Oryzias latipes: one gene and its partners. The protein of the gene in region 1 interacts with the protein of each later gene in a biochemical or structural test. Links are inferred from orthologs where the notes say so. Each region holds a gene or a part of one and is shown on either strand. Other genes may lie near its edges.

The links.
Region 2: the proteins of bcl2 (region 1) and nr4a1 form a complex in vitro, tested with the Homo sapiens proteins (2 studies listed by BioGRID). The link is inferred for Oryzias latipes from reciprocal best matches to the Homo sapiens genes BCL2 and NR4A1.
Region 3: the proteins of bcl2 (region 1) and bad form a complex in vitro, tested with the Homo sapiens proteins (5 studies listed by BioGRID and IntAct, with this or other methods). The link is inferred for Oryzias latipes from reciprocal best matches to the Homo sapiens genes BCL2 and BAD.
Region 4: the proteins of bcl2 (region 1) and fkbp8 form a complex in vitro, tested with the Homo sapiens proteins (4 studies listed by BioGRID, with this or other methods). The link is inferred for Oryzias latipes from reciprocal best matches to the Homo sapiens genes BCL2 and FKBP8.

Annotation. Positions count from the first base shown.
Region 1 is NC_019875.2:25,472,853-25,480,740, reverse strand, and holds the start of bcl2 (apoptosis regulator Bcl-2), read left to right. Parts: upstream 1-2,879; 5' UTR 2,880-3,403; coding exon 3,404-3,952; intron 3,953-7,888. UniProt on the Homo sapiens protein: Suppresses apoptosis in a variety of cell systems including factor-dependent lymphohematopoietic and neural cells. Regulates cell death by controlling the mitochondrial membrane permeability. Appears to function in a feedback loop system with caspases.
Region 2 is NC_019865.2:22,177,281-22,185,158, forward strand, and holds nr4a1 (nuclear receptor subfamily 4 group A member 1), read right to left. Parts: upstream 4,505-7,878; coding exon 3,722-4,504; intron 3,619-3,721; coding exon 3,489-3,618; intron 3,246-3,488; coding exon 3,082-3,245; intron 2,991-3,081; coding exon 2,788-2,990; intron 2,697-2,787; coding exon 2,518-2,696; intron 2,129-2,517; coding exon 1,872-2,128; 3' UTR 768-1,871; downstream 1-767. UniProt on the Homo sapiens protein: Orphan nuclear receptor. Binds the NGFI-B response element (NBRE) 5'-AAAGGTCA-3'. Binds 9-cis-retinoic acid outside of its ligand-binding (NR LBD) domain.
Region 3 is NC_019876.2:12,865,362-12,872,987, forward strand, and holds bad (bcl2-associated agonist of cell death), read left to right. Parts: upstream 1-2,511; 5' UTR 2,512-2,686; intron 2,687-3,014; 5' UTR 3,015-3,022; coding exon 3,023-3,170; intron 3,171-5,168; coding exon 5,169-5,383; intron 5,384-5,462; coding exon 5,463-5,594; 3' UTR 5,595-7,213; downstream 7,214-7,626. Other genes in the region: uncharacterized protein LOC101172196, read right to left, coding at 7,313-7,492, 7,564-7,626. UniProt on the Homo sapiens protein: Promotes cell death. Successfully competes for the binding to Bcl-X(L), Bcl-2 and Bcl-W, thereby affecting the level of heterodimerization of these proteins with BAX. Can reverse the death repressor activity of Bcl-X(L), but not that of Bcl-2.
Region 4 is NC_019862.2:8,039,775-8,047,505, reverse strand, and holds the start of fkbp8 (peptidyl-prolyl cis-trans isomerase FKBP8), read left to right. Parts: upstream 1-2,453; 5' UTR 2,454-2,890; coding exon 2,891-2,922; intron 2,923-3,022; coding exon 3,023-3,273; intron 3,274-3,434; coding exon 3,435-3,604; intron 3,605-3,720; coding exon 3,721-3,809; intron 3,810-4,254; coding exon 4,255-4,475; intron 4,476-4,753; coding exon 4,754-4,926; intron 4,927-4,993; coding exon 4,994-5,071; intron 5,072-7,044; coding exon 7,045-7,182; intron 7,183-7,276; coding exon 7,277-7,363; 3' UTR 7,364-7,731. UniProt on the Homo sapiens protein: Constitutively inactive PPiase, which becomes active when bound to calmodulin and calcium. Seems to act as a chaperone for BCL2, targets it to the mitochondria and modulates its phosphorylation state.

The DNA of each region.
Region 1 (7,888 bases):
GGCTTTCAGTTTTTTTTTTTACTGATTTAAAAAGTTATATTTCAATTTAAGATGTAATATTCTGACATTTCACATGCAGTGAAAGGATGTGTTTGCTTTTCTGTAACCGAACAAATCCCAGAGGAAGAGAGAAGCCATTCCGTCAAAATCTGGTAAAAAACAAACAACAAATCACCAAACTTTTTGTTTTTTTTCCTCTTTATCGCAGCTTTAAAGGAAAGCGGGTTCTTTGAGCTGACATCACCGAATGAGGAGAAAAACCCAGCATAACTGTGTTTTAACTGCACAAGTTTAGTTCCTTTTCTGTCCATTTATAAAACCAGAAAATGAGCTTTTAAATCAGCTGGGTTGATTTACAAATTCACACACTTTGATAAGAAATTCCATTCAGAAATGGTTTAGACTTGCAGGTTCAAGTCTTGTTTTTCTTAGTCTGGTCTACTGAGGGCGCTAGAGATGAGCTTTACATTGAGACCAAAATGTCACTGGGATCAATCTATGTGGTCTTCTTCTCTGAAGGTTTTGAGCTGCTGTCAAAAGTAGCAGGAAATTTGAAAATTCCTTAAACAATTCCTTTTTTATTTACCATGAAATCTGTCTACAGTTTTTCATTTCCAGTTAGAATCAGTAAAAACGACTCTCGCAAGTCTCCCTTTGGTTTAGTAAAACTGAGAGAATGTACTTGAATGCAAAGCACACCACACAGAAATAGTATTTTTTCGAAAACACTAATGTTTGAAAATTCAAAATCTTGAAGATGTCAGGAGAAAAAAATGCATTTAACCTAAGACTTCTGGATGCCATTTCTTCTTCGTTCAAAGTCCTTAAAGATGGTGGAGCAGGTCACATTCTAAGCCTTAAACTCACAAAAGCTTTGGGTGTGAAACTGTTAACAGAACAGTGCCAGCTGACGTGGATTTTTTTCATGTGAAATTCGATGTATTTTATTTGTATGGCGACGTGATCCTTCCTTAATTCCAAGAAATGAGAGTGAGAATGAATGACTCGTGTTTTGATGATGTTCTCATTTGATATTGGTGAAGGCCAATCGTTTCTGCGCTTGATCATTGTTCATGGTTCATTTGTTTTCAGGTTTGAAGTAGCAGCCAACAGTTTAAAGATGTAGCTCATGGAAAGAAAAGCTGTTTTGGTTTGAGCACCTTTAAGCTATGCAACTTTAGCTTAGAATTAGCTTTGGGGAAAGAAAAAGAAAAACCCTTCTGCAGCCGTTCTATCGTTTTCCCCGTTTTGTGTTTTGGATTCATTCCTAGAAAGTTTTAAAAAGGTTGAACATCCCATTGCACTCATTTGTTTGATTCCTTACTTTTTTTTTTTTAAATAATTCTGCCTAAAAAAATGCCACCTTCACCTTCTGTGCCATTCAAAGAATATTTGAAATGTGAGATGTTTTGTCATATTTTCTTACATGAGAAAAACAATAAACACCTGTAAGAAAAATATTTTGTTTTGGACGAGTTTTTGTCAAAAACAAAGAATTTGGGGTGTTTGTGTGTCTCCCTAAGGCAGGCATGTCCAAAGTCCGGACTATGACTTTGGACATTTATTTATTCTTTTTTTTATTTCACCTTTATTTAACCAGGAAATGTCCCATTGAGATTAAGAATCTCTTTTTCAAGGGAGTCCTGGCTAGGAGGAAACAAAAAGTTACATTTACAATAAAAATATAAACATTTAAAACATAAAATTAATAAAAAAATAACAGCTTATGTAAAACAGGTGCAGTTAAAAGTGACGTTCTCCTCCGTTCTCAGCCTGTACATGTCAAATTTCCACCAGTGCCAAATCAATATTATGCGACCTCCACCACTTTCTAAGAACGCCGTGTATGATTTCTTGATTGTGATTGGTTAAATTAGGTCATAAGAAGCAACAACCTGTGGCTACTTGACCTTCAGAGGCTTAAGGGCCAGACGTGAGGAACAGTTTGTTTCTGTCATCCAAACCACAATGGTTTGTACTTCTGAAAAGTATAACTATATAACTATTTGTTATTTTCCTGTTCAGGTCATTTAAATGTAAAAGTTTAGTCAGCATCATGAACAATATGAAACATATAAACAACAGGTTTAATAATGTATTTTTCATACAGACACTTTCTTTTATGTCTGGTCTTCAAATATGAATTTCACAGTAATTTGGGTTGAAATGTATTTAGATTTATTTCTTTAATAAGTGAAGAAATGGTTAATCCCATTGTTTTCTTTAAATTGTTCATTGGATTTAATGTTAAAGTTTGGACACCCCTGATTTAAGGAGATTTTGGGAATGATGGCAAAAAAGCTTTTCCCAAAACTTTAAGAAAATTGATAAGAAAAGCAGATTATAGATGGAACCAAAGGAAATGTCAGGAATCCAGCAAAGCACAAAAAGTAAGTCTGCATTGATACATGAATCTTTGCAACAGTTATAAAGAGTTTGAAAGCCTGTCCCATTTAAATGTTGCCACATTTTTGAGAAACAAGCATTTTTTTTTTGTTTTTTTCAAAAGAAATGTTTCCAAAAAGAACATATTTCTGCAGTTTTTGATAAATTAAATATAGGGAATGAATTAAAAGTCAATTTTACAATTGATATAAACACAAATGTCCTGACTTTTTGTCATTTGTTCTGCTCTGTTGGATTTTCCTCCACAAGGGGGTGATTGAACCTCATGGACAACTAGCAGGAGGTTTCTCCCTACGTCTTTTACGATTAGATGATTTATGTTTTAGTTGGACCACAAAGACCTTTAAAAAAATATCCGTGAGAATAGGCGCCTGTGATTGATGAGGTGCGTTAGTTTTAGCGCGCTCTGAGGATCTGAGCGGAACCACGGGTTCACTGACGTCAGGGATACCTCACCAGCAGAGCCTGGCTGCGCTGCGCTGCGCGTGAGGAGGAAGAGGAGGAGGAGGCGGATTTCGGGAGCAGTCGTGATCGGACCTTGTCCGACTTACTTGTTCCGTGGCTCTGCGAAACCAGCGGTTTCGTTTTGGCGCGCAGAAGTTTGCCTTTCATTCATTTTTTTTCGCCACGCACGGGGATGCGCGCGGAATTGGAACAACATTACTGCCTCTTCCGCGTTTTTGGATTTATTTGGAAAGAAAATTTCGACAGTTTTCCCCTGCAAAGGTTCGAAAAAAGATGAAGATTGCTGCTGATTCGGACCCGGGATTTCTCTGACTTCCACTAGCGCGTCTGCGCAGTTCCGTTCAGGGGGTTTCCACCGTTTACCAAGTATTTGCGCTGCGTGGGATAATTAGTTGCAGATCTCAACCTAGTTTTTTTTTATTTTGGGGGGGGGGAGACGCTTGTTCTGTGCGTCATGAGCGGCACGATGTGGATGAAAATGCAGATTATTTAGTGGGATCAGTGACTGTCCACTGTGCCAAATTACGCAGGAATGGCGAACGTGTCTAATCGCAGTATTGTAGAAAAGTACATCTGCCACAAACTCTCCAAGAGGGGCTACGTGTGTGGGCTGAACGGCGGCCAGCGCGAGAATGCTGCCAATAACGGCTCGGTTGGGGACCATTCCCCGACTCCGGTCCGCCGCCGCTGCGACGCAGGAACGGGGCCTGACGAGGAGAGCAGCCCCCGCCTCATCAGAGCGCTCTCCCGGGCGGACCCGCTCGCGGACATCCACAGGGTCCTGCGCGAGGCGGGAGACGAGCTGGAGCGGCTGTACCAGCGGGACTTCACGGAGATGTCGCGGCAGCTGTACCTCACCTCCACCACGGCGAAGACGAGGTTCGCCGAGGTGATTGACGAACTGTTCCGGGACGGCGTGAACTGGGGCCGGATTATCGCGTTCTTCGAGTTCGGGGGCACGGTGTGCGTGGAGTGCGCGTCCAACGAGGAGATGAGCACGCAGGTGGCCAGCATCGCCGAGTGGATGACGGAGTATTTAAACGGACCTCTCAACAGCTGGATTGAAGAAAACGGGGGATGGGTAGGTTCGACTCCGCGCTTTGCAGCTGTGCGCCATGGGGGGGGGCAAAGGTCCTCTTTGGACCCAACTCCATTGATGTAAAGTGTTGATTTCATGACACACAACCTTCATATTTGACTAATCACCAATGCTGGGCTCTGATTTGTCTTTCTGCAATGAAAAAATACACGTGAAGTCTTGGAAAAATCTGCTCTGGATGTGCTCAAAGTGACGCACGACTGCGCAAGCTTTCAGGATGGACAACCCCCCCGGTGAGCCGCTCCGATTGGACGAAGGCGTTGGCTGTTAAAGTCATGTGTCCAATCGGAGCACAGGTGTTGTGTCACACCTCCGCGCTCTGATTAAAAGTCCCGCCCTGTTAGCAGAGCAGAAATGTGGAGGCAGACAGATGTATTGGAAGTGCCCCCTTAAACACTTCACTTTAGTAAAGTCGAAGATATTATCAAAACATTTGCTAGAAAACAGACAGAATATCGCACTCTTTTCTTTTAAAATAGATCTTTTTGCTGGAAATATGTTTAAAACTGCTTTTTTTGATGTGCAGATTAGGATTATTTGGCAAAAAAAGAGCAGTTTATAGGTTTGAATATCCAAAAACTTCATTTAAGTTGCTTCAATTCTAAATAACAACACCCAAGTAGAAGTAAAAGGTATTATTGAAACATTCATTCAAGTAAGAAGAAGAAAGAAACTCAAAGCCTGAGTACCATTTTAAATACATTTGATTTATAGTTAAAATATTTAGCATCAGATATAAATATCTTCTTGCACGGTGGTGCTGTGGTTAGCACTTTGGCCTCACAGCAAGGAGGTTTGAATCCCAACTGGGACATTGCTGTACGTTGTAGGTTCTCCTCATGCATGCAAGGGTTTTCTCTGGGCACATAATCCATTCATAGTTTAATTGCTGGCTCTAAATTGCCCTTAGGTGTGCATGTAAGTATGTATGTGGCCCTGCAAAATACTGGCGAGCTGTTCAGGGTCACTAACAGCAGTGTTGTGACCCCAAAGAGGGATTCAATGGGTCCTAAAGATGAATGGACGCCCCAGCATGAGTTGAAATGTATAATTCTTTACTTTTAAATACTTGTCCTGAGCTCTATTTTACATTTAATGTGAGTGCAGAAGATGTCGGCCCATAAATTAGCCTTTAATCAGCAGAGGGTTCTCATTACATTTATGCAGCATCTTAGCTGGAAGGTGTCATAATGGGATGTGCGTGCATGTTTGGAGAGGTAGGAGGGACATCAATGATTCATATGGAATCCTTCATCTCAAAGGATAGGACCGTTTAGCATTCCCCTTGAGTCTGACTTGCCCCCAGAGTTGGCAGCTCGTGCCACATATCAAAGGGAAGCAACAAAGGGAGGGCCCTGCAGGAACACAGAGTGCTAATCTAGAGCCACTGTGGTTAACATGCAGTCATCTGTTGAGCATGCAGGCTCGAATTCTGCGTCTGATTTTGCAGACTTGTGTTTTAAAGCTTGGAGGAGACTGGGCTGCATAGATGCTGGAACAAGCTCCCTGGAGCCTGTGGCCAGTGTGCTACAATGTAGGTCATCATAGTCTGTGTTTTACAGCTGGGTGGAGATGACTGCATCTCTGCATCCACTGGAGAGAATAAAAAGGGGAAAGCACAGGCCTGGTATACAAATGATCATTTTGGGGGTTTGCATAAGGGTGAATGTTTGATGGATTTCTGCTCTGGAGGAACCAAAAAACAAAAACTATTTTCAGCGAAGATGTTGATATTAATTCATTTGAATAGTTGTCGGGAAGGGAGTTCCCCCGATGAGCTGGTTTCCGTCATTACACGACGTTTAATAACTGAGACACCGCTATGGATTTGTTTTTGTTAACCTAGTCTAATTTTTGAATTTGAATCAAAGTTGCTTGAACGGTAGTTTTCTCAGGGGTGTGTGTGTGTGTGTGGGGGGGGGGGGTGTTACACTGTGAACTTTGCGTGAATGGTCGATCTCGGTCAGATTCCCCCCTGAGCTGTGGAATACCAAATCACGTTTTTGTCAATACTAGAATTTGAGTTTTCTCTGATTCAGTCAAAAAAAGTTCACTAAAAGCAATATTTTCTATTTACCTTAGATACAGTCTCTTTGATTAATTGTATGCTTGAAGGAAAATCTTTACTAAACAAAATATTTCACCAGTGAAAACCTGACCATGCAGAATGAAACTGACTTAACTTTCCTCTTGTTAGCTTTCTCTTACAATGGCTGTTGTTAACATGTCGGTTTGGACCCTCATCTGAGATTAGTTATAACATATACTTAAACTATTATTTATCTTCATTTTACCCATTTCTTGGTTAATCAGATTGGGTTTCCTTATCCAGGAAATTGTTAGTTTCAGTGCCTTCAGTCTTATCTATTTGACCTTTTGTCTCAAAAACCCATCAATTTCAATTTCAGAAAACATATAAAATGTTCCTCAAAATAGATCATTAAACAAAAGGTAGTTGTGTTACCGTCTGTCACTGATGGACATTGCAACACACCTCTTCAATAACTTGAGCTCACAGCTCTTCCCATGATGCAGTTTTTGGCCTGATTTTAAAGTTTGTGACCTCAGTGCACGGAAATAATCTGGAATCCAATCTGTTTTAATGTAAAAGCTTTGAGAGGGTAGTGGCCAAGCTTATGTGCTTACAGCTAATCTAAAGGTGGGATTGGCTGAGCATGTCCATTTATGGGGGGGGGGGGGGGGTCATTGACTGTACATGGAACTGGAACGAAAATGTCTTATTTCCAGCTTCAATGAAATTAAGTCAATTCAGTCGCCACTTTTCATGATATGGATGCCACCATGTTGGAGCCAGATAATGTCAGTAAGTCCGTAAGCAGTGATTGGTCAAAGTCGACAATTCTATGGCAATCACTCTTACCAATCAGAAGTGAGCTTGCTGGAGATCCACAACCCCACTTCTTAGAAGCGGGCTCTGGAGAATCTGTCAATCAAACACTTCAAACGTTTGATGTGAGACGACATGCTTCTATTGAGGCATTTCATTGGTCAGTTTATAACTTGAATAAATTGCACTACGAAAAAAAAACAACCTGAAAAGAATCATGATTATCAAGAACAAAAAGCACCAGAGGAAGATTAGTTATTCTAACAAATATAGTATAATGAAGTATAGCTGTTTATTTCTTTATAGAAGTCTATGGGACTTTGGCTTCTTGGAGGCGGTGGGTACTTCCTGTTTGGGCCACTTAGTCCACTTCTAATAAACAGTCAATGGTGGAAACCCATTTTCAAGGTGTTTTGGTTGCTTTCCCTTTTTTTAGATCACCCTTCTGACCAACAGTAGAGAAACTCTGTAAACGAGGTTTAATGTTCTCTTTTGACAGGTGGTACTTATGGTCACTTACACTGTCCATGGTGTTATTGTGTGACTCAGCTGAGTGTTGGCTTTTCCACAATACAAAACACCGGTGGGTACTAATCAAGGTATCACTGATGTATTTGATAACAGATCTCTATCATTTCTTCAGTCTCCACTTCCTGTTGTTTTTTAAGACAATTTGAGCCCAGAATAGCTTCACCCACTAATTGCTGTTGAGTCTACACATCATGGGTGACTCAAGTAGACATTCAGTTACACAAAACCTGCTCTCTGGAAGTCACAAAGCTCCTGTTGTGAATGCAAACCCCAGCTGAGGATGAAATGATTTCATCTTTGCTCTGATTACCTCTCTGCTCATTGGCCCCAATACTGCCGTCAAACCCTAACAGAAGCAGCAGCCGTCCGTTCAGCTGAGCAGCCTCACCCATACCTGTGTTTGTTTACACTCACTGGCACTAAATACAGTGTGATTGCAGAAAGACACAGCCAAGTGTCTGAGATATTAAATTACATGCTTGACCTGAGATGTTTTGACTGGCTGTGGGGGTGGCACACAGCAAAAGGTTCTCCAAGAA
Region 2 (7,878 bases), on another chromosome or scaffold:
TAGTATGACTGAGTAGCTGTTTATTTTTCTATAGAAACCTATGGGATTTTGGGTTCTTTGAACCAGAGGGTACTTCCTGTTTGGAATTTTAGGGGGTCACTCAGTCCAGTTCTCTTCTACATTCAATGGTAAAGGTTGAAAGTGGTAGTCGTGCCTGGGCACCGGCGTTTAAAAGAGTGAGTGAGGCCACAGGTGGCGAGCAATTAACCCACTGAATCTGGTGTGTCTTTCAATGAAAATTTCCCCAAAAAAAAAAACCAACAAACCCAAATCTCGAGAAAGACAAATCCTAAAGTCCGGCGATTTATAATTGTCAATAATAGAAAAAGAGATGTAATGCCACAGTAGTATGCTCGTCCTATCTGAGACAGAGACAAGTCCTGTCTTCGCAGAGGTGAAAACATTTGTGTAGGTGTTCTGTTATAAATAAAATATTGGCTCATGTAATTTGCAAACACACATTTTATATATATAATTCATTTCAAATTTTAAAGGCTCTGTATCATGCAAAATCTTTTGTTTTGAGCTTTTAGGTGTAATATATTATCTCATATATGGATATAGTTCACTCTGAAAGGCTTAAGAAAAGCATGATATAGGCCCTGGAAGAAACATCCCAATATTTCTCTTATTTGGGCTGTAATTAGAGCAATGTCTGTTTACAAAGACCACTAATGACAGATGGTCTTTAAACCACAGTAAACCTTAATGTTGTATTTCAAAACACTCAAATCACTCTGCTTATCGTGTAAAAACCACAAATGCACTGCAAATAAAATGTTTTTTATTTTATTCCACATTGAACTATGGCAAAATATCATCTCAGTATGTAAAAACAAAACCCCACAACAATTCTCCACACTGTAGAATACAGCTCAGTTGGAGCTTTAAAAACCATTCACAAACAGGATCTTTGAGTAAGACTGGATAATAAACAGAATATTAGCTGCTCAAAAACAATTCATGATACATGAATGATACCAGTGATCAATTCTGAAGGTTTCACCTATGGCTGGCTTCCTGCTGGCTCATATATAGGGCTGCACAACACCAAGAAAACATGCAATTTACTTCGTCTGAGCTGAAAAACAACTCAAACTAATACTCTGTCACTCATATTTGTTAGTAACATACACTTTAGACAGTGCATAACCTTAATGGACACTGAACTGAAATGTGAATTGGTTGAGATAATGATACTGATGTCAATAAAGGGATACTGTGCAGCCCTAGCTCAGTCAACAAAGAGGAAGTTTTTAAAAATGCTTTAACCCTTGTGCTATCCTATGGGGTCAAGATGACCATTGACGTGTTCTCCCTACCATGACAAAGGTGGATAAAGGTGGAGACGATTTCATGTAATCCATGGAAACCAGTGAAGATCACAAATCATTGAAGGAAAAAGTTCAGCGCACTGTCTAGTGGGGTCTAGATGACCCAACTCCCTATGTCAAAGTGCCTAGGATAGCACAAGGGTTATACAGAGCTTTGATGAAGATTTTTTCAATACTCGAGCAGCAGATCTGGCAACGATGGGGGGTATTTCCATAATTTGCCCATTGTTGCATGTAAACACTCACTATTTGGTCCATGAGCTGGCCAATCTTTTTCCATCTGAAGACAACACACTTTCCCAGAAAGTCAATAAGGAAGAGCATTTGTGGCTCTAGGTGTGTATTTAACTATTCATTCACTTTGTGATTCAGAAGTGCTCTCCTTAACGCTGCAGAATCCCTTAGGATTATTATTATTCTGTTAAAACTCTTAAAGTTTTACAGGTATTGTGCAGTGTGAGCACCAAGTCCATTGTCTTTGGCATCCAGATAAACTACTCATGTTTTTTTCACAGTTGGTCTCTTTGCATCTGGAACTCAAAACGGCAGAGTTTCCATAAAGATCTTCTCCACGATTGGTGGGGGAGGAACCAGATCTTCTAGTTTGAGGTAAAAGATGCGCTGGAAACCTTGCGTGCACAGAGTCCTGAGCTCGGGCAACTTGCCGAGAAGTCTAGACAGATAATTGGGCCGTAAGGACTCTGAACCACAGCTAGTCACATGGTCTTTCAGGCAGGTGATGAGCTGGTTCTGTAAATCCTCCACCCGTTTGGGCTCCTTCAGGCCATGTCGATCTGTTGAAAAAAGCAAGACACTGTCAAATCTCATTTTACAAAATAAACACAAATAAAAGTACTTTCCACCTCTGAGTTTATCTCATTTGTGTGCACACTGTTGTATACTGTTTTTGTACAAACACAAAGGTCACTTAGCTAACCTCTCAAAGTGCTGTTACCTTACAAGCCTTGAGTCAAAAATAAAACCTTCACTCTGTTTCTGTTTAGGTCTCCTATGCCATCTTTACTGTGCTGTACGTGAAGTTATGCTGCTCTTTGTCATGCACCTGTCACATCGGTCTCTCATGGTTATGCTGTTTAGTGTCCCTGACAAAGAAACACGTGCACACTTTTTTGACTATAGCTAGTGTTAGTGCAGAGAAGCCTGAGACCAACAAACATCTCACCTGTGATGAGGATCAGGGCTGCAAGGCAGGAGAAGGAGGAGACATCCAACTTCATGCGATGAAGGCTTTGAGAAAACTCCAGGATGGAGTCGATCCATTCCCCAAAGCCCCGGACACACTGTGTTTTATGCAGGACAGCTCCGTTGCAGAAGATGAGCTTCTCCATTTTAGGATTGGACCTTTATAAATGGTAAAAAAGTATGTGTTGTTGTTTTTTTTTCAAACATTAAGAGATAAACAGAACAGAAACCAGAGGAGAATGGCACACACCGATAGGCAAGACGCAGGATAAAGAGTTCAACGAATGCAGATTCCACCAGCAGTTCCTGATCCTCCAAGCAGAAGTCAGAGAAACCTGGGATGTCCTTCGCCCACTTTCTGATAACCTCTAAAGAAGCCGTGAGGAGGTCGTAAAACTGCTTTATGTCACTCACGTCTTCCTTCTGGTTCGCGCTGACTTCCTTCTCGAGGTACTAAGAGAACATAAAACAAATGGGAGTTTAGCTTTATTCAAAGTATACAAAAACAGAACTACAAAAAAAGAGGAACCCTGCTTTGGCTTACCTTAGAGTAATCCAGATTTCCAACAGCAGGGTTTGAGTCAATGTGGGCCCTGACCAGCGACGCAATCATGCTCACTGGGGATACAATGGGAGTGGCATCTTTGACACCTTTAGGCTTCGATGGTAAGCGACCCCTCCGTCCTTTCAGGCTATCCGTTCTAACAACTGTAGAAAAAGGTGACATCAAGTGTTAGTCTCAAATTATTCATCTTCCCTGAATCTCTCTTCTCTATATTTGCTATGAAAGCAGACTCTTGTTTAAGGAAAAGAACAGTCCAATTGAACATTTTAAAGCTTGATGTAGAATCTATCATGTTTCATTTATGCTTGATATTAATGTTGCCATTAGCTTTAGAGTTGTTATTTTCAATAATATGATAGTACAATGAGGTATTGTACTTTGCATACCTTCTCTGACCATTCCCACTGCCAGACACTTCTGGAAGCGACAGAACTGGCATCGATTTCTCCTCCTCTTGTCCACAGGGCAGTCTTTGTTGGCAAGGCAGACATACTTGGAATTTTTCTGAACTGTGCGCTGTGAAAAAGAAAACAGTAGAGGAATTAGTTATTTTACCTTTTAAATTGCTATGTTTCTATGAAGCGACTAAGCCACTATGGACTGGTTTGTCTTTTCTTACCTTGAAAAAACCCTTGCATCCCTCACAGGTGCGGACCCCATAGTGCTGACAGGAGGCATTGTCTCCACAAACAGCGCAGCCGCCCTCACTTCCACTTTTCAGCTTGGGCGATAGACTTCCATCCCGCTGTTCAGCACTGTCGAGACAAAGGGCCTGTTCCATCCCCATAGCGGGAAACTGCATCGCAGATGGGTGAGGTTGAGATGCGGCAAAGGGTTCCTGCTCTCGGAAAAGTGCCTGACCCAAATGAGACATGTCCTCCACAGAACCTGAGCCAAACATGAAAAAAGATGGAGTATGTGGCCCTGAGGTGTCCTCAGTCATCCAGTATCCTTGACCAGGGGAATATGGCCCAAAAGCTGAATCCCAGTTAGACACATTCTGACTCTGGAACCCAGGAGTCGAAGGAGAAGAGGCGGACGCGGGGCTGCCAAAGTAATCCGAGCCACTGGGAGACACAGCCTCATCTGGGTAACTCAGAGTGAACGCTCCAGGGTAGCAGCCATAAACTTGGAGCTCGTCCAGCTTGAAGGGGCTTTCCTGGCCTGACGCTGAAGGTACATGGGCAGGGGTTGTAGTGAACTGGCATGAGTACGCATCAAAAGATCCCGTAGGTGTGCCCACCAAGGAGCCGATGCTTGGCAGGGACGGAGTAGAGTGGTGCTCCAGGGAGCCACTCATGTCAACGGCCAGCCTGGAGAGAAAGTCTGCATTCTGAAGCTCAGAGCTGCTGAAACTGCTCTCAGTGGGCTGACGTCCATGTCGGGGGTGTACGCAAGTCATGACTGTGAGACTGAGAGAGAAATGAACATGTTAGCTTGGATTTTAGGTCTTCAATGAGCTTTCAAGAACAAGCTTCCACTCCAGAGTGAAATGTTATACATAATGTATACACACAGCTCAGTGGAGCAGCTTATTGTCAATCCTTAAGATCCTGATTCAATTCCTGTGTCTACCAATGGAGCATCAGTATTTGGCTTTTCAAACTTCAATTTATACAAATGTTTTACTGATATATCAAATAAAAAAACCAAGAGTACCATAATTACTGCTGCTGTCATCTTTGTATTGAAAGTATTGTTTATCACAACCCTTTGACACAGTATCTCTGTAATTTAAGTGAATATTTTTAACTTGAATTTTCATGTTTCTTCCCTGTCAACCTCCATTTATAAGAAAATCCTAGAAAGTCGTGCTTGTTTGTTGGAGCAGTCATCAAATCCCACTTTATCATTTCTCATTTCCTAGTAATTATAGTAACGCCTGAAAAGTGCAGCGGGGTTGACTTTCACTCTGGAGTACACTGCCAAAACACGCATGTGCAAAATTAAACCAGCAGACTACTAACTTCAGAAGACTTCATCGACTTTTTAAACACGTGAAGCGATTTCAAAAAACATTAAACCGCATATGTGCGTGCAGCTGTAAAAGTCAGATGATTTGTTTTCCGTTCAAAAATAAAAATAAAGCAGTTCAAATAAACACTATAGGATTGATTTACTAAGATGCTTCTTACCTGTCTAGTCCGTTAAAGTATTTTTGTGAATTTTCTCCACTTTACGAGCGACCGTCTCTCATGATCAGCGTCTCCCAGCTGACAGGTTCTCCGTCCGGCTCCTCTGGTCCTCCCCGCCTCTCTTATACTTTTGCTCTAGCGTAGCACTGTCCATGACGTCATTTTCCATGCGTGTCAAATGAGTGGGCGGGAGATTTCCATGGTGCAGCCAATCACAGCACCTTTCGAGAGAACAGCGCTTTTGTGACGCACTACGGGATTCCGTTGACGCTCGTACGCCCAGAACCGCAGCTTTGTCCGACTTGACAGACACGTGCGCACGGGCGCGCGCTACTGATATCTAGGTAAAACAGAGTAGATCTGAATAAAAGTGGGAGGTTCTATTTAGCAAGTGTTTATTAACATTGAGCAAATGGAAATACAGGGATCTAACCCCTTTAATAACAATAACTCAGTTACTTAAAAAAACGCCTAAGTTTGGGTCAATTCAATTGCAAGTAAAAGCAAGAATAGAAAGCCCTGTACAAAACATTTAAGAAATTGTTCCCTCACATTAACAATTACCATATTATGCACACAATGTAGCATTCTGTAACCACAATGTAGCATTTTGTAACCACAATTTGACATTATATGGGCACAAGAACATTTTATTAGCGTTTTGTAGCCACACAAATTAAAGTTTTGTGTGCCACAAATTAGCATTTTTTTGAGCACTTAATTAGCATTTTTGTTGCCACAAATGAGTATTTAATGCTACAAATTATTAGTGGGTATTGATACAAAAATACTAATTTGTGTGGACAAAAGGCTCAGTTCACTGTGCTAAAAAAAAAGCTAATTTCTGTCCACGAAAAATGAATTCATGCTCACAGAATAATAAACTGTTGCGACATTGCAGAGATAAACATTTTATATGGGGGAGGGGGCGACTTTAGAAGTGTGACAAATGAGAACACGGGCAAAAGAACATATCTTAAACAGTTTCCTTATTCTTACTGTTGTTAATATTAAAACAGCAGTTCTTTTAGCTGAGGTGCCATTAATAAAGCCTAAAGAATCTTTTAGGATTTCTTAATATTTGTCAACAATGATACTTATATTGAGTCAAGGATTTGGGGGGGGGGGCAAGGCTTTCTGCTGTAGGGCGTACCTGACCTCCTAAGCTCCAACCCTGCCCAAATTATTATTTTGAGGGAACAATTCTTTTTTTAGGCTCAGTACAAGAACAATCTAAATAGCCATGTCAATACTGCATAGCTTCAAACATCAAAATAACGTTAAAGTGTTGAAGCAAAAGAACCCCGACAGGATCAATAGGTTATCATTGCTGCTGTTGCAGGTTTCTGTTTGAACTAGCCTGTGCTTGCTGGATTTCAGGTTTAAGTGGCCGAATCATTTTTGGCTTCCTAGCAAACAGTAAAGGGCAGGGGGGTTGACTTTCATCCATGGCAAACGCCCCCTCTTAAATCACAAATGCTAAACAACATTTAAAACGTCTTCAGAATTTACACCCACATGCACCAAAGTTGTGGAGTTTGGGTTGTCCTGGCATTCACAAATGAACATACTGCAAATTTAGGGTAGAAACCTCTTCACGATGAGAAAGGGGCAAGCAGTGAGTCACAGCTGTGGCCTCCAGAGATGTGATTAAGGCCCTTAGACCTGATTATGTGCTGCTGTGTTTTGTGGTTTTATTTTGTAGCCTCCGGCATTAATTTGCCATCTCTTTCTCAGCATTCCGTGGGGTTCAGTTTTGTACCTGCTTTCTCGGGTTTCATCAAGTGTCTGTGAACCCTTTCCCAGCATGTCAGGGAGGACGCACTCACGTTACTTGAATGCAAACTCATGGTTACACAAACACATGCAGCAAGCTGAAAATATATTTAGGGAAATGCTGGTTATTTAAATAAAGGGAACATTTGTGCTGTGTGTCAGTGTAATCCCTTTATATACTGGTGCTTGATGTCAGCTCAAAGTCACTTAAACCTGCTGCTCCAGCTGTGTCTGCTCCATGACAAACACTTAAGCCACTTACTTGAATCTGTGCTGGAAACTTGTCTCGCAGTTATATTTTCCTCTGTGGATCTGTGATGACATGCAAGCACTGGGCCTCCCTACACCACACTGACTGATTTCACTCGTTATCTGATCAATATAATCAGAAACAGTGTCTTCCTGCCATTCACAACAGTAACTGTGACATCCGCTAGATCATTTCTTTGGGTCCCCTCTGGGCATCCTCCATGTGATATCCTTGCAGCTGCTGTCATAACTGTAACACCTGCTACTCCGTGATGCAGATTTTATTGTTTCCATTATGTGTAAGAAACCAGAATGCAACTCTTCTTGCACCGTCTTGCAGTGCCTTACCACACTGGCATTGCCAGGCTTCAACCCGACACCTGTTGCTGTTCCAAAGAGCTATTTCTGTGCCGAGAAGATGTTTTGCATCGTGCAGAAAACCTCTGGTTCACAAGTTCAAGCTCTCCATAAACCCAAAACACGTGCAAGTTCTCCTTTTCTTGGTGTGTGATGGCAAATCTTTTCAAGACACACTAGAAGCAAGACCCATAATGAATCTGATCGCACTTTAAAATGTAACAACCTGATAGTTTGCATGCAGAGATGTAAATGTGAC
Region 3 (7,626 bases), on another chromosome or scaffold:
TTGTAATTACGTTTTTATTACATACCGGTAGTTAATTTTAAGTTAATGGTTTTATGAGGGTTCAGTGCTAGCCAAAGTGACGTGAGTTTTAAAAAAAAAAAAAAATTATTAACAAATATTGCACATACAATATACCAAATACAAAACTCCACACTGTGTTCAAAAAACAATTTTCACGTTTGCCAGGAAAATGAACAAAAATTCAAAAAACCATAATAATAACAATGTGAAACAGGTTAAGTAAAAATAAAAAAAAATAATAAAGGCAAAGGAATCTGTTAAAGTTTCAAAGGCACTATGTTTCAACTGTTCTAACAGCTTTTTTGTTAGTGGAGGATTTGATTCTGTTTACATACAGTACCATTTCTTTCTGGAAAACATAAAATACTGGGTTTTGTTAGCATATTTACACATGTGTATAAAATATTTAGTATAAGTAAATTGACTACATATATTTTCTCTGCATTTAATCCCCCTTGTGTAAAATATCCAAAAATAATATGCTCATAGAATAATCTATAATCTTCACATAGATGAGTTCTTATAAAATGTATCAAATCTTTCCAAAATACTTGAGTGAAGGAGCAATACCAAAAAAGATGAGGCACAGTTTCTGGTGAGAAATGACAAAATGAACAGTTTATGTCCCGATCTTTTCTAAATTTAGTAAAGAAATGTTTCACTGGATAAAATTTATGAAGAATTTTAAAAGAAATTTCTTTAATTTCATTGGTGATAACATTTTGGGGCATGGAAAACTTTTCCCACTGCATTCTACAGCCAAACCTATTCCAGTATGAGATAACATGCGGTTTTGTCGCAATCTCATTTTAAAACAGAGAACGGATACTTTGATTATTCCTGCCAGCTGAAAAACACCACAATTCTGTTAATTTGGGAGGAGAAAATGGAGTATTTGAAGGAGAACTGCTACACAGAAGTCTAACACCCCCTGGAATGGCTCCAGTAACCAATGCAAACTCTGCAGGTGAAACATGCAGACTATTGGTGGACAGAAACTCAATGTATGACATCAGGTTACCTTGTGGATTAATCAGCTGTGTCACAAGAGAAATGTTCTTTTCAAACTAATTTTCAAGACAAATACTCTTGTTTTTGTATAGAATATCTGCATTGTTCCAAATATAGTAGCGCTGAGTAGAAAAATTATGTTTGTAGATCAAAGTCTATGCCAATAAAACCTGCTTATGAAAATTAGACAGTTTTAAAGGATTTTTTTCCATTATTAAATTACATAATAAAATAAATGGCAGACCTCCAAGCTTATCAAATATGTATTTTTATATGAAATTCTAAAATGAGGTTTCACTTTTTAAGAAGTTTTTTTAACCATTTCATTTTGATGACATTACTTAGAATGGAAAAGTTAAGAAAGTCAAGTCCTCCGTCTTTTGATGAATTAATTACTACTGATTATCGTACATAGTGGATTCTATTTCTCCAAAGGAAGTTAAAAAGTATCTGATCAATCCTTTTTGCATTTTTACCCTCTTCCCTTCTCTACTTCTGTACCTGTCCCAAGCCCGGTTGCTTTGAGAGGGTTGCGTCAGGAAGGGCATCCGGCGTAAAACATTGCCAAGACTACCATGCGAATCTTCCACTGTGAAGTGGCTGATTCGCTGTGGCGACCCCTGATGGGACAAGCCGAAAGTGAAACAACTGTCCAGAGATAGTGAGGAAACAATGTAGACTAGTCTGGAAATTCCTTCTGCTTTTGCTAAGAGGACGTGACCTTTTTGTAGCCAGCGATTAAACTTATTTTGTGCTTTTGCAATCATAGGATTATAGTTATTCAGTTCTCTTTGTTTTTGTTCTTTAGTTATCTGCAATCCCAAATATGTGACTTTTTCTTTGACTACTATACTATTTATGGATGTTAGAGCACATTGTTTAAGAGGAAATAACTCACATTTCTTTAGGTTTAGATAGGTCCTGATGCTTTTGAAAATGTTTCTATAACTTGAAGAAACCTGTGAGGAGTTTAAGAATAATGATTCATCTGCCAGTTGACTTACAAGAATGTTTTTACCAGCAATAGAAATCCCATCAATATTCTCAATTTTATTTATCTGCAGAAAACGTGTGCAACCAGAAGAAACAGGTATACAGAGACAGTACACCCCTGTTTTATTCCTCTCCGAAGACAGAATCTGCGACTCGAGTAGTGCCAGCACTCAACTTGTGACGTCGTGAGTTTTGGCAGAAAAAAAGGGGGAGGGGTGAAAATGAGGAGCTTTTTGGTTCTGCGCTTCTTCTCTGGTCATTACGGTAACCAGACCAGACAAACAAGTCCTAGCTCGCAACAGTGACGTCAGCGCGCTGCGAAAGTGCAGGGGCGCGCGGCGATTGGGCGAAAGCGGAGCAGGGGTGTAATGTGCCGCGGGCAGAGAACACCAAAACATTAACAACAAGCAGTTTCTGCCGCTCGAAGCTAACTTCGGAGACTCTTTCCCACCTCCGGAGCGGACGCCGCAGAGATTTCGGGTGAGAAAAACTACTTCCAGGAGGTTCTCTTTAGCTGCGCGGAAGGTGGAGGGGACCGCTTCCGCCCTGTATGAAGTTTCTTTTGTCCTCTTGCTCTTCGGTCAACAACAACACAAAACAAACGAGGCAGTGTGTCGACGAAGAGCACAGCTCGCGAGCGCGTTGAACTACGAAAAACAAAGTACGTTATAACATCTTAACGAAGCGCGTGCTGTCAAAGTTGTGTCCTTATCTCGTGGAGTTGTTATTTTTTTAATACCTTTGGACTCAACCACTGATAGGCAGCTGGGTGTGTTACAGGTAGACACATAATTCATTTAGCTAATAGACATTTTATGACTCTAGGAGTGGAAAGTTGGGCCTAGCTCAATTTCTATTTCATTTCGGCTTCAAATGTGAAAGAAAAATAGTATTTGATTTGTGATGGTCTTCGTTTAAAATGATCATCAAGCTTCTCTGGTAGTGAATTATTGGAACAACGTGTCCTCAAAACACCTTTTTTTCTGCAGATGTTACGATGGCAGCAAAGTTCACCATCTCAGACGATTCGGAGTCATCCGAGGAGGTAGAGGGAGGAAAACTTGACCTGGGAGCGGCAGCAGGAGGAGAAGGGGAGCACCTTCATGATCGACATTCCCTCACCCTGCCAGAGCTTCGACTCACAAGTAAGCAGACCAAAAGCATTATGGGAAATGAGAAGCACTTTTAAGAGTTGTTTGAGAAAATTCCAGTCTTAAGGCAGCAGGATTCGGATTTTTTGGGATCCTGAGGTGGAGCGGTTAGCTGTTTTATAGGGTCACTGTATGCAAGAACTGGACTGAGCGACCCCTCCCACCTCACGTTCCAAACAGGAAATCCCTGCTGGCTCCAAGAAGACAAAGTCTTATAGACTTCTATTGCGAAATAATCAACTATTGCTGACTCTATATGATCCTTTTTTTTAATAATTATATTTTTTTCTATAGTGCAAATTATTTCAGTTATAATCTGAGCCTTCAGATGCCTCAATAAAAGCATGTGGTTTCATGTCAAACATTTCACTGACTGATTCTCCCAAATGATAGGGCTGTAGACCTTTAACAAGCTCTCTCCTGATTGGTGAGTGGTTTCCATAGAAACTTTGACTCAGACCAATCAGAGTTTACTAACATTGTCCCACGCATTGCCAACATTTTGGCGACGACATTGACTTTGTTTCATTGGAGCTGGATGGACGGTATTTCCTCACTATACAGTGAATGGCTTGTACTTCAGTTTTTGTTAGGACCCCATATAGAAAAAGCTGTCATTGATAGGGGATGGATAATTTTCTCAAGGATAAACATTGTCTTTAATAAAGCGTTGTTGTTGTTTTTTTTATATTTATGAAATATAAATATGCAGTTTAAATTGTAGTGCCATTTAGATGACACAAAAAGAAATAGACGCTGAAGGAGAAACTAATACCTGCTGGAAGAACAAAAAGGGAACAAAACTTTTCCTAGTGGTAAGGTAATCACTGTCTCACCTAAATGTGAACACAATCAGAGATTGTGTGCAGTCAGTACAGTGTTTTCTTGTTTATCATGGAGTTACATTCTAAATATCGATAAAGTTTGATTCTTTTCATATCCAGACTTTTCTCTCTTTTTTTTAACTCTCAAATCTCAAGCCTTCGTAGAAAATAAGTCCAATATTATAGAATGAAAACAAAGATGTAACTGTGGCACAAATGAGATCCACAAGGTCTACAGCCAATCAGAACGCAGTGTGCTGTATAAAACAATACACATACTGAATTGCACTACAAAGATCCACGAAACAGTGAGACAGCGATAGATGAGCCGCGTAACAGAGTGGGATCACGACCCCAAAAACGTTAAATCTCAAGTTGAGTAGAAAGAGTTTGACTTGTTTTGTTTTGGAAGCTGCTGCTGCATGGAAACTGTCGACAGTGAGACTCTCTGGACTGTCCACACGATTCAGCTCAAACTGCGGATTCTGACGCAGAAAAAGGCAGCTTTGCACCGATCAGCAGCTCACTACTGTAAAGTTTCGCACGGCTGCTTTTCTATGCATCGGAAACAGCTGAAGTGACGTCAATTGTGCGACTGCTTAATGAATTACGGTCGTCGAAAGAGCTAAAGCAGCGGCGTTAAAGGGTTCAACGGCCTCTGGTTGGAGTCTTCTGAGGATGGAGCCGTCAGCATCTGCAGCTGTAGCCTACAATCAACAAAGTGACTAGTAACTGCAGAAAAAGTCACTATTTAACAGTTTTTGAAATGATTTAAAATGGAACAGAACCGGGTTGTCTGTGTTTGCGCACGAATCAGTGGAGCCTCACGGGACGTGGCAAACGTGGCATCAGATACTATTTGTCTGATTGTTATTTTCCTTATGTTTTTAGCTCGTACGTTTCATGGCGCAGCATCATTATATTTGACCAAAACTTTATTTTTTACATTTTTTATAAACTAACAGGCAACATAAAAAGGGGAAAATGAGGCCGAATTCCCTCACTGCTGCCTAACTCCCAATGCATTTTGGGATTGTAGATTCCCCTCATAAGTGGCAATTCAGACACAGCAGAACCCTTGAAGGGGTGTTTCCTCTGTCTTCAGGTCTCCCAGGTTACCCGTACTTTTTCAACGTTCGTTAACATTTTGTCCTTACCTGTCATAAAGGTAACGGGCGTACCAGGCTGAATTCAGAGTCCACCGCTTCCACGTACTCCAGAGATGAGGACCTCGCGCGGGAAGACGAGGCCGGAACCCCCACTGATGGGTTGGCCTTCAGGGGCAGATCCAAGTCGGCCCCTCCGGCTCTGTGGGCCGCCAAAAAGTACGGTCAGCAGCTCCGACGGATGAGCGACGAGTTTGACAGCCTGCTGGATAAAGGGGTAAGAGCGGGTGGCGAGGGGGCGGGGCGGCAGACGAGAGTCGCTTCCCGGATTTGAACGTGACATCTGCCTTGTGCAGGAGATGAGGAAGGTGAGGAGCACTGGGGCGGCCAAACAGATGCTCCACTCCACGAGCTGGTGGAACTACCTCTTCAGCCACCCGGAGGCGGAAGGAGAGTACAGCCACCACGAGAGCCACCGCACTGAGTAAGGATGGAGAGGAAGACTGTTGTGATGAAGGACTCGGAGGAGGACAGAAACCACGGGGGCATCTACACAAGAGGAGGGGTCGACCCACTCAAATACGAGAGGAATGGGAACACTAAGACCGGGCTGAACGGGTCTCCATCTTTGAACTCGCTCATTTCTTTTAAAACATTTTTGTCTTTCTTTGTATTTGACTGTGATGTTTTTTAAAAAAAAAAAAAGCCCACTTGACTGAGAATTTAGACATTTGACACATCAGCGTATACAATGAAATTATCATCAAATATAAGCAATCTACTGCAGGCGGAGAAAAAAAAGGCGCCGACATCCGGCCGTCAGAGGAGATAGAAGTGAAAACTCCTCCTCCTGCGGATGAACGGGGGCGTCTTTTATCTCCGTATGGCGAAGACGGAAAGGGTCAAAGTGCTCGATTTGGGCTCGTCCGAACAATCTCGCAGTGGGACAATCTTCAGCGATGCACAAGTGCTTTCTGGGTAAATCTTCAGGGTTACATCGACGCATCAAACCTGCGATCAAAGGCACAAATCCGAGAACATCGAGTGTAAATACTTTGTGAATATTTTTATGAAAGGACAGGAAGGGCCTGGAGGGGCTTTAAATAGATTATCAGAGGTTCGGTGGGCGTGGCTAACCCTGCAATAGGCTGTGTACAATCCACGGCTGTTGTGATGAGTGAGGAAGGACGACTATACTGCTGTTAACTCTCCGGTCCAGAGGAAGGGCTTATTTAAGAGGAGCAAACTACTTTTGGTCCATAAAGGACAGGGTTTCAATGCCCAGATCTCTGCTTTAGGATGTGAAGGTTATCTTTTAGTCCGTAAACAAACAAAAAGGCTAGTTTTTATCCAATCGCTGCAGCTGGATTTGACGTTTGTGTGTTTTTCTGAGGAAACCGAGATCTTTAAACCTTTTAAAAACGGTTTCTCGTTTATTCTGCTCGCCGTCTTCCTCAAAGTCGGGAAGGTCGCAGACATCTTTGCCAACGTTCCATCACTCGGGTTAGCTCTTTGTAGAGCTTTTTTCTTTTTTCCCCTAAATAAACTCCAGACAATCTAAAACGGTGCTGCATTTTTCTAAAAATGTTCCCAGCTGTTGTGATGTGTTCAATGCCACTACGTTTTTTCTACGTTTATTCTCTGTTTTACGAATATTTCCTAATCACCTCCTTAAAAGGAAAATATTTGTACACATGAGCTGGTAGAGATTATTCGTGGCTCTCGGGTGAAGCGTTTATTCTCGGGAGGTGAAATGTCGCGTCAGATGAAGCGCCTTTTTGAACTTCACAGCCTTAAATCTTTATAGGGACACTGAAGCGGGAAAGCACAAACTCTCAGAGGTGCGTTCACTGCCACAACGGCGAGGGAAACACTTTTGATCGGCTCTCTAGCGGGCGGCGAAGCCCGAACCTGCGCTGGCGGGCGCCTGGAGTTTCCGAAACCATCCTTAGTATTACTTGAATTTTTGAGTGTGTCTAAGAAGGGAAGAAATGCAATTTTAATACATTAAGTGGTTTGTTTTTTGGAATAATTTTTGTTTTTTTTTTATGTATTTTCTCTACAGCTGTCCAGCCTCTGCTGTCTTTAATAAATGATTTTAACAGTGGTTCTTATGAGTTTTTTTTTTTACATTTATTAAAAAATGTTGATGAAAAACAACTTTCCCTTTAAAAGTTTACGGTAACAAAGTCCACAAATAAACGTGTCAGGCCACTTCTGAGGGATCCCAGCAGTACTTGTGTCCACAGTCCAAAGACGACAGCCTCTCCATGTCCGCTTTACTCAACTCAAAGTCAAAAATCCTGCAATTCTCCTCGATTCGTTCAGGATTGGAGGATTTTGGGAGCACCGGGACTCCCTGCTGAACAGCCCAGCGTAGGAGAACCTGCAGGAGAGGCGTACAAACGTTACCGTGCCTGAATAAATGTGCGGTGAATGGGTAGAGACGGGCCATACCTGTGCAGGCGTACGCTTGCAGCTCTCCGCCACTTCGATGACCAGCGGGTCGGCCAGCAGCTC
Region 4 (7,731 bases), on another chromosome or scaffold:
CAAACCGTCAGCAGACAGCAGCTGTAGCCTCTTTGTGTGCTTGATCCACACGCGAGCTTCCTGATATCAATGTGAACCTACCGTCGACAGGGACACCTGCAGGATTTACTGATGGGGAATCCCTCCGGCAACCCCCTTTCTGACCTCCAGTTCCTCCTGAAGCCCCGCCCCTTTTTCTCCTGGTGTAAATACTGTAAAATGCATTTTGATATCATTGACATGTTTTCATGTCCGTCACAACCGGTGAGTCCAGCGGGAAGTAGAGTATAAATGTTTTCCATGAAGAAACATTTGGGTCATGAGGCTAAATTGGCTGAATGTACAGCAGACGGATGAAGACTTGTGTGGAGAGGGGGGTGGGACGGGGGCGGGCCGGCTGTGGCGTCCTCACTGTGCGCCTAGTGTGACGGCTGTTTTTAAAATAATTTTTAAGAAAAGTCTAGATTTCTTTCCCTGAAGGGCATCTCCTCACAAACGTGGGTCACCTCATATTACAGTTTTTAATATGAAGGATTTTTATCATGGAAAAAAAACTTTTAGAAGAAAAAAGATATTTTAAAAATCTTTTACAAATGTTATTTTAAATGAAGATCTGGATGTAAGAGTTCTGGGGAAGCTCGCCGGTTGGTCCTGTCGCCGTAAGTTGATCTTTGGCCATCTCTGTACTTCTATCGTGGTGTAAAATAATGTACCATTAGGAGGAGCTGTCCATGGTCCTCTCTGATATGAAGCAGTCTATTTCCTGGGTTTGCTTTGTATGTCATGGTAGGATAGTCCAGAATCTTGTCTTAGGGTTTTAGGTGTCTTGTGTATCAAAGATGTTCTTTGTATGTTTCTTTATATTGTAAAGTTTCTTTAAGCGGAAAGAAAAAAACGATTTGCTTATCAAACAGGAACAATGCATCAATAATAAATATCATCTGATTTTTCTCTGCTGTTTGAATCTTTTCCTAAATCCTGACATGAAGATCCTGTTTAAAACCAGGAACTTTTTGATGAAAGCAGGGTGTGTTCCACTCGACACAGCTGTTTTATTCCTTAATTAGAGAAAGAACACATCAGTCATGGGTATTTATACCACTTAGATACAAGTTTGTTAGCTTGAATCATAGGAGCTGATGTTTTTACAGAAGATCACTTTGTCCAAAGCAGGGGCATCAAACTGATTTTCAGCGAGGGCCACATCAGCGTGCCGGCTGTCCTGGGGCCAGCTATAACTCATACATGTAACTAAATGTAATGAAAAATAAATGTACATACTCTTTAATGTTAAATAACTCATTAGTTATTTATTATAACTTTTTAAAGTGACAATTACAGCGGCATAGAAAACATGTGTTTGCATGGTACTCTAGCATAAATCCTTTTACATTTGATTCTGACAGGTTAGGTTATATTGGCAGTGTTTAAGTCCTAATGGATAGTTGCCCAATCAGATATTTTCAGATTCCCCCAAGATATGAATAAATACAAACCAATTTGTATTTTTATTCTAAAAAACTAAAAACTTTTATGCTCTCGCGGCCCACAAAAAATGACATGGTAGGCCACATTTGCCCCCTGGGCCTTAAGTTTGACACATGTGGTCTAGAGTGAAGTAAAGAAATGTCTTTTGGGCTCATGACACCAAAAATACTTCCGAGTTCTTCCTTTGCTTAAAGTGAAAACTGCTAATAAGCAAAGTTTCCCGGACATTCTTGTTAAAAAATGTCCAATCGGCAGCACATCGGAGGCAGAAACAACACAGAGATCGTTTAAGCTTTAAAAGTAAAAATGTGTGAGGAAATCCAGGAAGAATCACTCACAGCTTTGATGACTAAACTTGCGTTTTCATCTTTCGCTATTCTTTGGTCACATTTGGATTTATGTGACACCAAAATCAGTTGAAATGTGTTTTATAGTTTACAGTCCAGAATGCAGCTGCTTCTTTTTCACAGGAACCAGAAAACATGAAGACATCAGAGATTTTACATTTCACCACCATCTGAAAGAATTTACAGGACTGACCAACAAGCAGTTCTCTGTTTTTCAAAGTAAAAGTTCTGTGCCAGCCACTGATTCTTTTACCACCCTTCAATCAGTGAAACACATTTATCAGTAAAACTCCTTTATTCATTTCAAATTTTTGTTTTTAACTAGTAACAATGTTTAAGTACATTATTTATTGTGTTTTTCTATCTTTGAAACTTATTTGGGCGAACTTGTCTGGTTCTTCGGTTCATCAAATGTTTAATAATGATTGGAACTGTGTGACATCAGGATCTAAAGCATAACAGATCTTTCTGCTCTAAAAGGTTCGCGTTTTCGTGGTGAAGGATGTTCTCCGTCGTTTCATGAGTGAGCACAGGGTGTTTTTTAATGGAACCATTAAGGGGGCTTTTAATCTGAAAGCAGAGAAAAGCTTCTTGAAACATTAAAGCGATGCAGAGTGCTGCTGCGCATGCGCGAGGATCTACCGCTGTGACGAAGTCAGCCTGAGTGTCCACTGTGGCCCTTCCCGTTGGCGCCGTGCGCTCTAGACTTTTCTATTCGCAGTCTAACTTCCTGCGTGAGCTTGAAGGATCGGGACGCGGCTGTTGGACCAAAACAAGGCTGGAGGTGAATGTTCGCGTTCTAATTTACAATTTTAAGAACTTTTCTGTGTGTGTTCCTTCGTTTGGAAGTGATTCTAATCGACGACTTCGTTTTGTCAAAATGTCAGTGTCACTAAAAACTCTTAGTTTGATGGATGCAAATAAGCTAAGCCGCTGGCTCATAGCTAGCTAACCCAGCCACCTTCAGCTAACGCTAGCATTAGCATGTAGGTTTTGACCGAGAAACCTCGTTACTTTTTAAAAACCCACGGAAACGTCAGGTTTTCTGAAGTTTGGAGTAAAACTGTCTGCATGCAATGTTGGGGAACTGTAACGGATATCCTGGTCGGTACGTTAACGTCAGATTCTGCTGTTTGAAGAGCTTTTCTGTGAAGCTCAGAGATAAGCGAACAGAAAACGAGCTTCCTCAGTTTGACTGTCTTCTCCAGAATGGAGACCGTGGAAGCTGCAGACGGCCGCGAAAACGCTTCTTCTTCTGCCAGAAAGAGCGGACAAACGTCGTTGCTGGACAGCGGAGAAGACTTCGAGGTTGTGGATGAAGAGGACTTTGATGAGGAGCCTCCTCCTTTAGAAGATGCGGGAGGTGGGATGGAGAAAAGTTCAGATGAGACGGCGAAGAGGTCTCCACATGAAGAACCAGAGGCTCCGGCTCAGCTGGATGAGTGGTTGGATGTGTTGGGTGAGTCTGGCACTTGTTTGGCCTCTTCCCGCTGATGTTTCTTGGAAGAGAGAACAGTTCTTCATTTGTCTTTTGAATCTGACAGGTTCTGGAAGTAGTTGTGAGTTCCAAACAAGCATTTGGTGGTAGTTCTTGACAAGCCAACAGTTCTCTCTCTGCAGGAAATGGCCAGCTGAAGAAAAAAGTCACGGCGCCCGGGAAGGGACGAGCCAGTCGGCCTCAGAAGGGTCAGAACGTACGGATCCACCTTAAAGCTAGCCTGATCGATGGGACTCTGGTGGAGGAGCAACCTAACTTCTCCTTCACTTTGGGAGATTGTGATGTTATCCAGGTAAACCCTTAGTGGTGATATATGTCAGGGTTAGCCCCAACGCTCAAAATTACGTCTGCAGGTCTTGTTTTGTGGATTTGTCTCCGGTCAAACGTCAGTCAACACTTTTCTTCCAGGCTCTGGATCTGACGGTCCAGCTTATGGAAATGGGAGAAAAGGCTCTGATCCAGTCAGATCCTAAATATGCATATGGAGACAGAGGAAGGTGGGAGATAAGCTACTCTACATCAAACGCTGCAAATTGGTGATATAGAGAATTTTAACCATCCTTTAGAAAGATGGTAGCAGAGCCCAGAGTCTGAGGAGCCTCCAAATGAAATACTTTTTATTTTACTCACAGGTGGTTTAGTAAGTGGGAGGGGCTTTTTGACACACGTGGTCAAAAAAGTCTTGACATGTCTCACATTTACATAAACTTGGGTCAATAAGACCTTAAAAAGCAAACATTTGTCTTTAATTCAAGAGAATCTGTGTCTTTTCCTGACATGGGGGTAAAGGAAAGGAATCACTGGGAAATAAACTGTATGGATCCCTGGAGATTCACAGAAACAGACTGACTATGCCATCCTTTTTTTTTTGTTGGGGGGGGGGGGCGCTGCTGTTTTTGCTTCAGTCACTAAACCTGCCTGTTTTTTTTTTTCTCGTGTCAGTCTTGAACCTCGTGTTCCTCCAAACGCTCAGCTGTCCTTGGAAGTGGAACTCCTGGAGGCCACTGATGCCCCCGATGTGGAGCTGCTGCCCCCCGCAGAAAAGATTGCCCTCGCCAGTCGTAAACGAGAGAGGGGCAACGTCCATTACCAGCGTGGAGACTATGCGTTTGCAGTCAACTCCTACAGCATCGCCCTGCAGATAGCAGAGTCCAGTTCCAAAGGTGAGACCTTCATGACGCCGTCCCGCTTTCCCGGCAATGAAAGCTCCTCCCCCTGATCATCTTGCGGTGACTGATCAGTAACTGCAACTTTAAACCAAACAATGACGTGAAAATCAAAGCCCTGCAGATGTGAATGAGTCTTCAGTGGATCTTTTTAGCTTTTTTGCTCTGATCTTAGATTGAGATTTATTTCAAACATGTGAAGCAATACAAAATAATAATAATAATACATATAAAAAGAAGGAAGTTTGATATTGTCGTTGTGTTTTGTGGGACAGTGGACATCCGGCCGGAGGAGGAGGACGAGCTGCTGGATGTGAGAGTGAAGTGTCTGAACAACATGGCCGCCTCTCAGCTGAAGCTGGACCATTACGATGCTGCTCTGAAGTCTTGCGTTTCAGCTCTTGAGCATCAGCCAGACAACATAAAGGCACTTTTTCGCATGGGCAAGGTTGGCCTCAGTCCCGGAGCTTCTTGCTGCTGCTGAATGTCTGCTAAATGGTTGTTCTTTCCTCTAGGTTCTCTCTTTGAAAGGTGAATACACAGAAGCTATTCAGACCCTGAGGAAAGCACTGAAGCTGGATCCCAGCAACAAGGTCATTGAACTGTTTTCTCTTGGCAGATTGTCATTTTTACATTTGGCCAGTAGGTGGTGCCACAACCTAGACTATGGGTTGCAGCAGGCCACGTGGTCTGCTGAGTCAACATATGTGGAGATCTGTTTTCATGTTGCTGCTGAAAATAGGTTCACCCTAAGGCTGGGCTAATGCCAAGCCAGTGTTTGCTTCTGCTTCTGCACTGGTTAAATGTGGTTCTGCAGCCATACATGGACACAGCCGGTTCCAGTGTGTAGGCTTCCTGGACCAGCTGAGGCCCAGAACCATCGCTGTAGTCCCACTCCAATCTGTCAGACTGGAGCAGCCAACACACGAGATGTTTGATCTGTGGTGTTTACTCCTCTGAGAGACGCTGTGTGTCTGAAAATGTTTTATCTCAACATCCCTGAGGTGACCTTTTGCATGGACACCTGCATGCATGTTGGTGCAGATTTCCTGAAATGGATGAAAGTGTTAGTTTTTGCTGAAGGTGAAGGTTTTCTTTCTGGAAGTTCAGACAGAAACTGTTGAGCCTCCTGCTGCTCTAAGGACACGTGACCTTAAACGGCTCATCAGCATCTGCTGCAAACCGGGATTTCAGAATCAGAATCAGCTTTATTGGCCAAGTGCAGTGCTGTACAAGGACTTTGGCTTCGGTGTCTTGTGCTCTCGCCCAAACTAGAAAGATATGAAAAAAATTTAAAGGAGTAAGACAGGAGAGGATAAATGATAAAAATAAAGTACTATGAGGTAGACGTAGGAATATTTAAACATAACTAAATAAATAAATGCAACAGTAAAAATGTAGCAGTAGTTCTGGTGTGACAGTTTCTGTGGTTTTGTTCCGTGTTCTTGAGTGGTCTGTTGTCAGGAGTTCATTAGAGTGACAGCTCGGGGGAAGAAGCTGTCCTTGTGGCGAGTGGTTTTGGTGCACGTTGTCCTAAAACGCCGCCCTGACGGGAGAATGCTGAAAAGGTAATGTCCGGGATGAGAGGGGTCCTCTGCAATTCTGCCAGCCCGCTTCCTGACCCTGGACCAGTACAGGTCCTGATGGAGGAAGAGTGGAACCAATAATCCTCTCAGTAGATCTGATGATTCTCTGAAGTCTGGTTCCTGATCCAAACCCGACCGTGATGGATGTGGTCAGGACAGATTGGATTATTGCAGTGTAGAAGATGGTCAGCAGCTCCTGAGGCAGGTTGAACTTCTTGAGTTGTTGCAGGAAGAACAACCTCTGCTGAGCCTTTTTCCAGAGTGGTGGTCCCTAGGAACCTGTGTGAGTCTGTGGAGGGTACAGTGCTGTTGAGAATTGTGAGGGGGAGGGGTTCCTCCTGAACTCCACTGTTATCTCCACCGTTTTAAGTGGGTTCAACTCCAGGAGGTTCTGGCTGTCCCAGAGGACTAGCCGCTCCACTTCTCCTCTGTATGCAGTCTCATCACCGTCCCGGATGAGCCCAATGACTTCTGTCGTCTGCGAACTTCAAGAGTTTCACAGTGGGTCTTACAGAGACGAGAATAGTACTATGCAGTCTTCCAACACTTTTCGTGGTTTCGTCAGCTAGCCTGTTGTTTTTTTTTCCAGCAGCCACAAGTTTCTAAAGGATCCAAAAACTGCAGTACAAGTTGTCGTTCTCCCAGAAGCCTCTGGGTGGACTGGTCTGCAGGCATGAAATTCCTATCACATGTTATCTCTGCGTGATGGTTTTCAGTCCTGCAGAGCTTTGGCTCTACTGGTATTCTCTGCTGCTTTGCTTGGTGGTTTCTGAGGAGCACTCTTGAACTGCAATAATCCGGCCCGTCTCCTGGAATAACTGCTCAATGTGGGCCTGATTAGGTTGGTCATGGTCCAAAAAGCTAAAATAGTGTTTTTTTTAAAGGCGCCACAGTGAACAGTTTTGTCTTTTTGTTGCATCATGGTTTCAGATGTTTTGGGAGCCCAGGTGTGGCTCTGAAATGTGTTCTTGTGTTTCCAGACCATCCATGCAGAGCTCTCCAAACTGGTGAAGAAACACTCGGAGCAGAGAGGAGCAGAGCAGGCCATGTACAAGAAGATGCTGGGAAACCCCTCCTCCCCCGGCTCCGTGCCGAAGCCTCAGGCCAAGTCTTCATGGGTGAGGGCTCCATCCCGGGAGGACAAAGGAATCTGAAAGGGTTTGGATCACCCCTGGGTCCTCAAAGTGCCTCCTGTCCTTTTTCCACCTGCAGGGTCTCAGCTGGAAGTGGCTCTTTGGCGCCACCGCTGTAGCCATCGGCGGCGTGGCGTTGTCTGTCGTCATAGCGGCCAGAAACTGAGCTCCCTCAGTGGACAGAGAGTGACGACTCCGAGCTACGAGGGAGAAGGAAACGGATGGAGCTTCTGGTCGGAGAGGATGGCGTTTCAGCCAAATCAGTCGCTTTTCTTCGCTATGTCCGAGAACTCTGCATGATTTCAAACGACTTGCGGTAATTACAGATGTTGGAATATTTGCAGCTGTAGTTTTGGAGGTTTGTGGACACCTGAGAGACGATGTTCCTGCGTTGCCATGGTTTCTCTGCTCCTGAAGGTTAGCAATTCGCACTGCAGGAGCTGTTCAAAAAATACCAAAGCAGCAGCTGTGATGTTTGATGTTCCTTAGCTTCTAAAACTATTTATGTGAGAGAGGACGGTGTATTTATTCTGT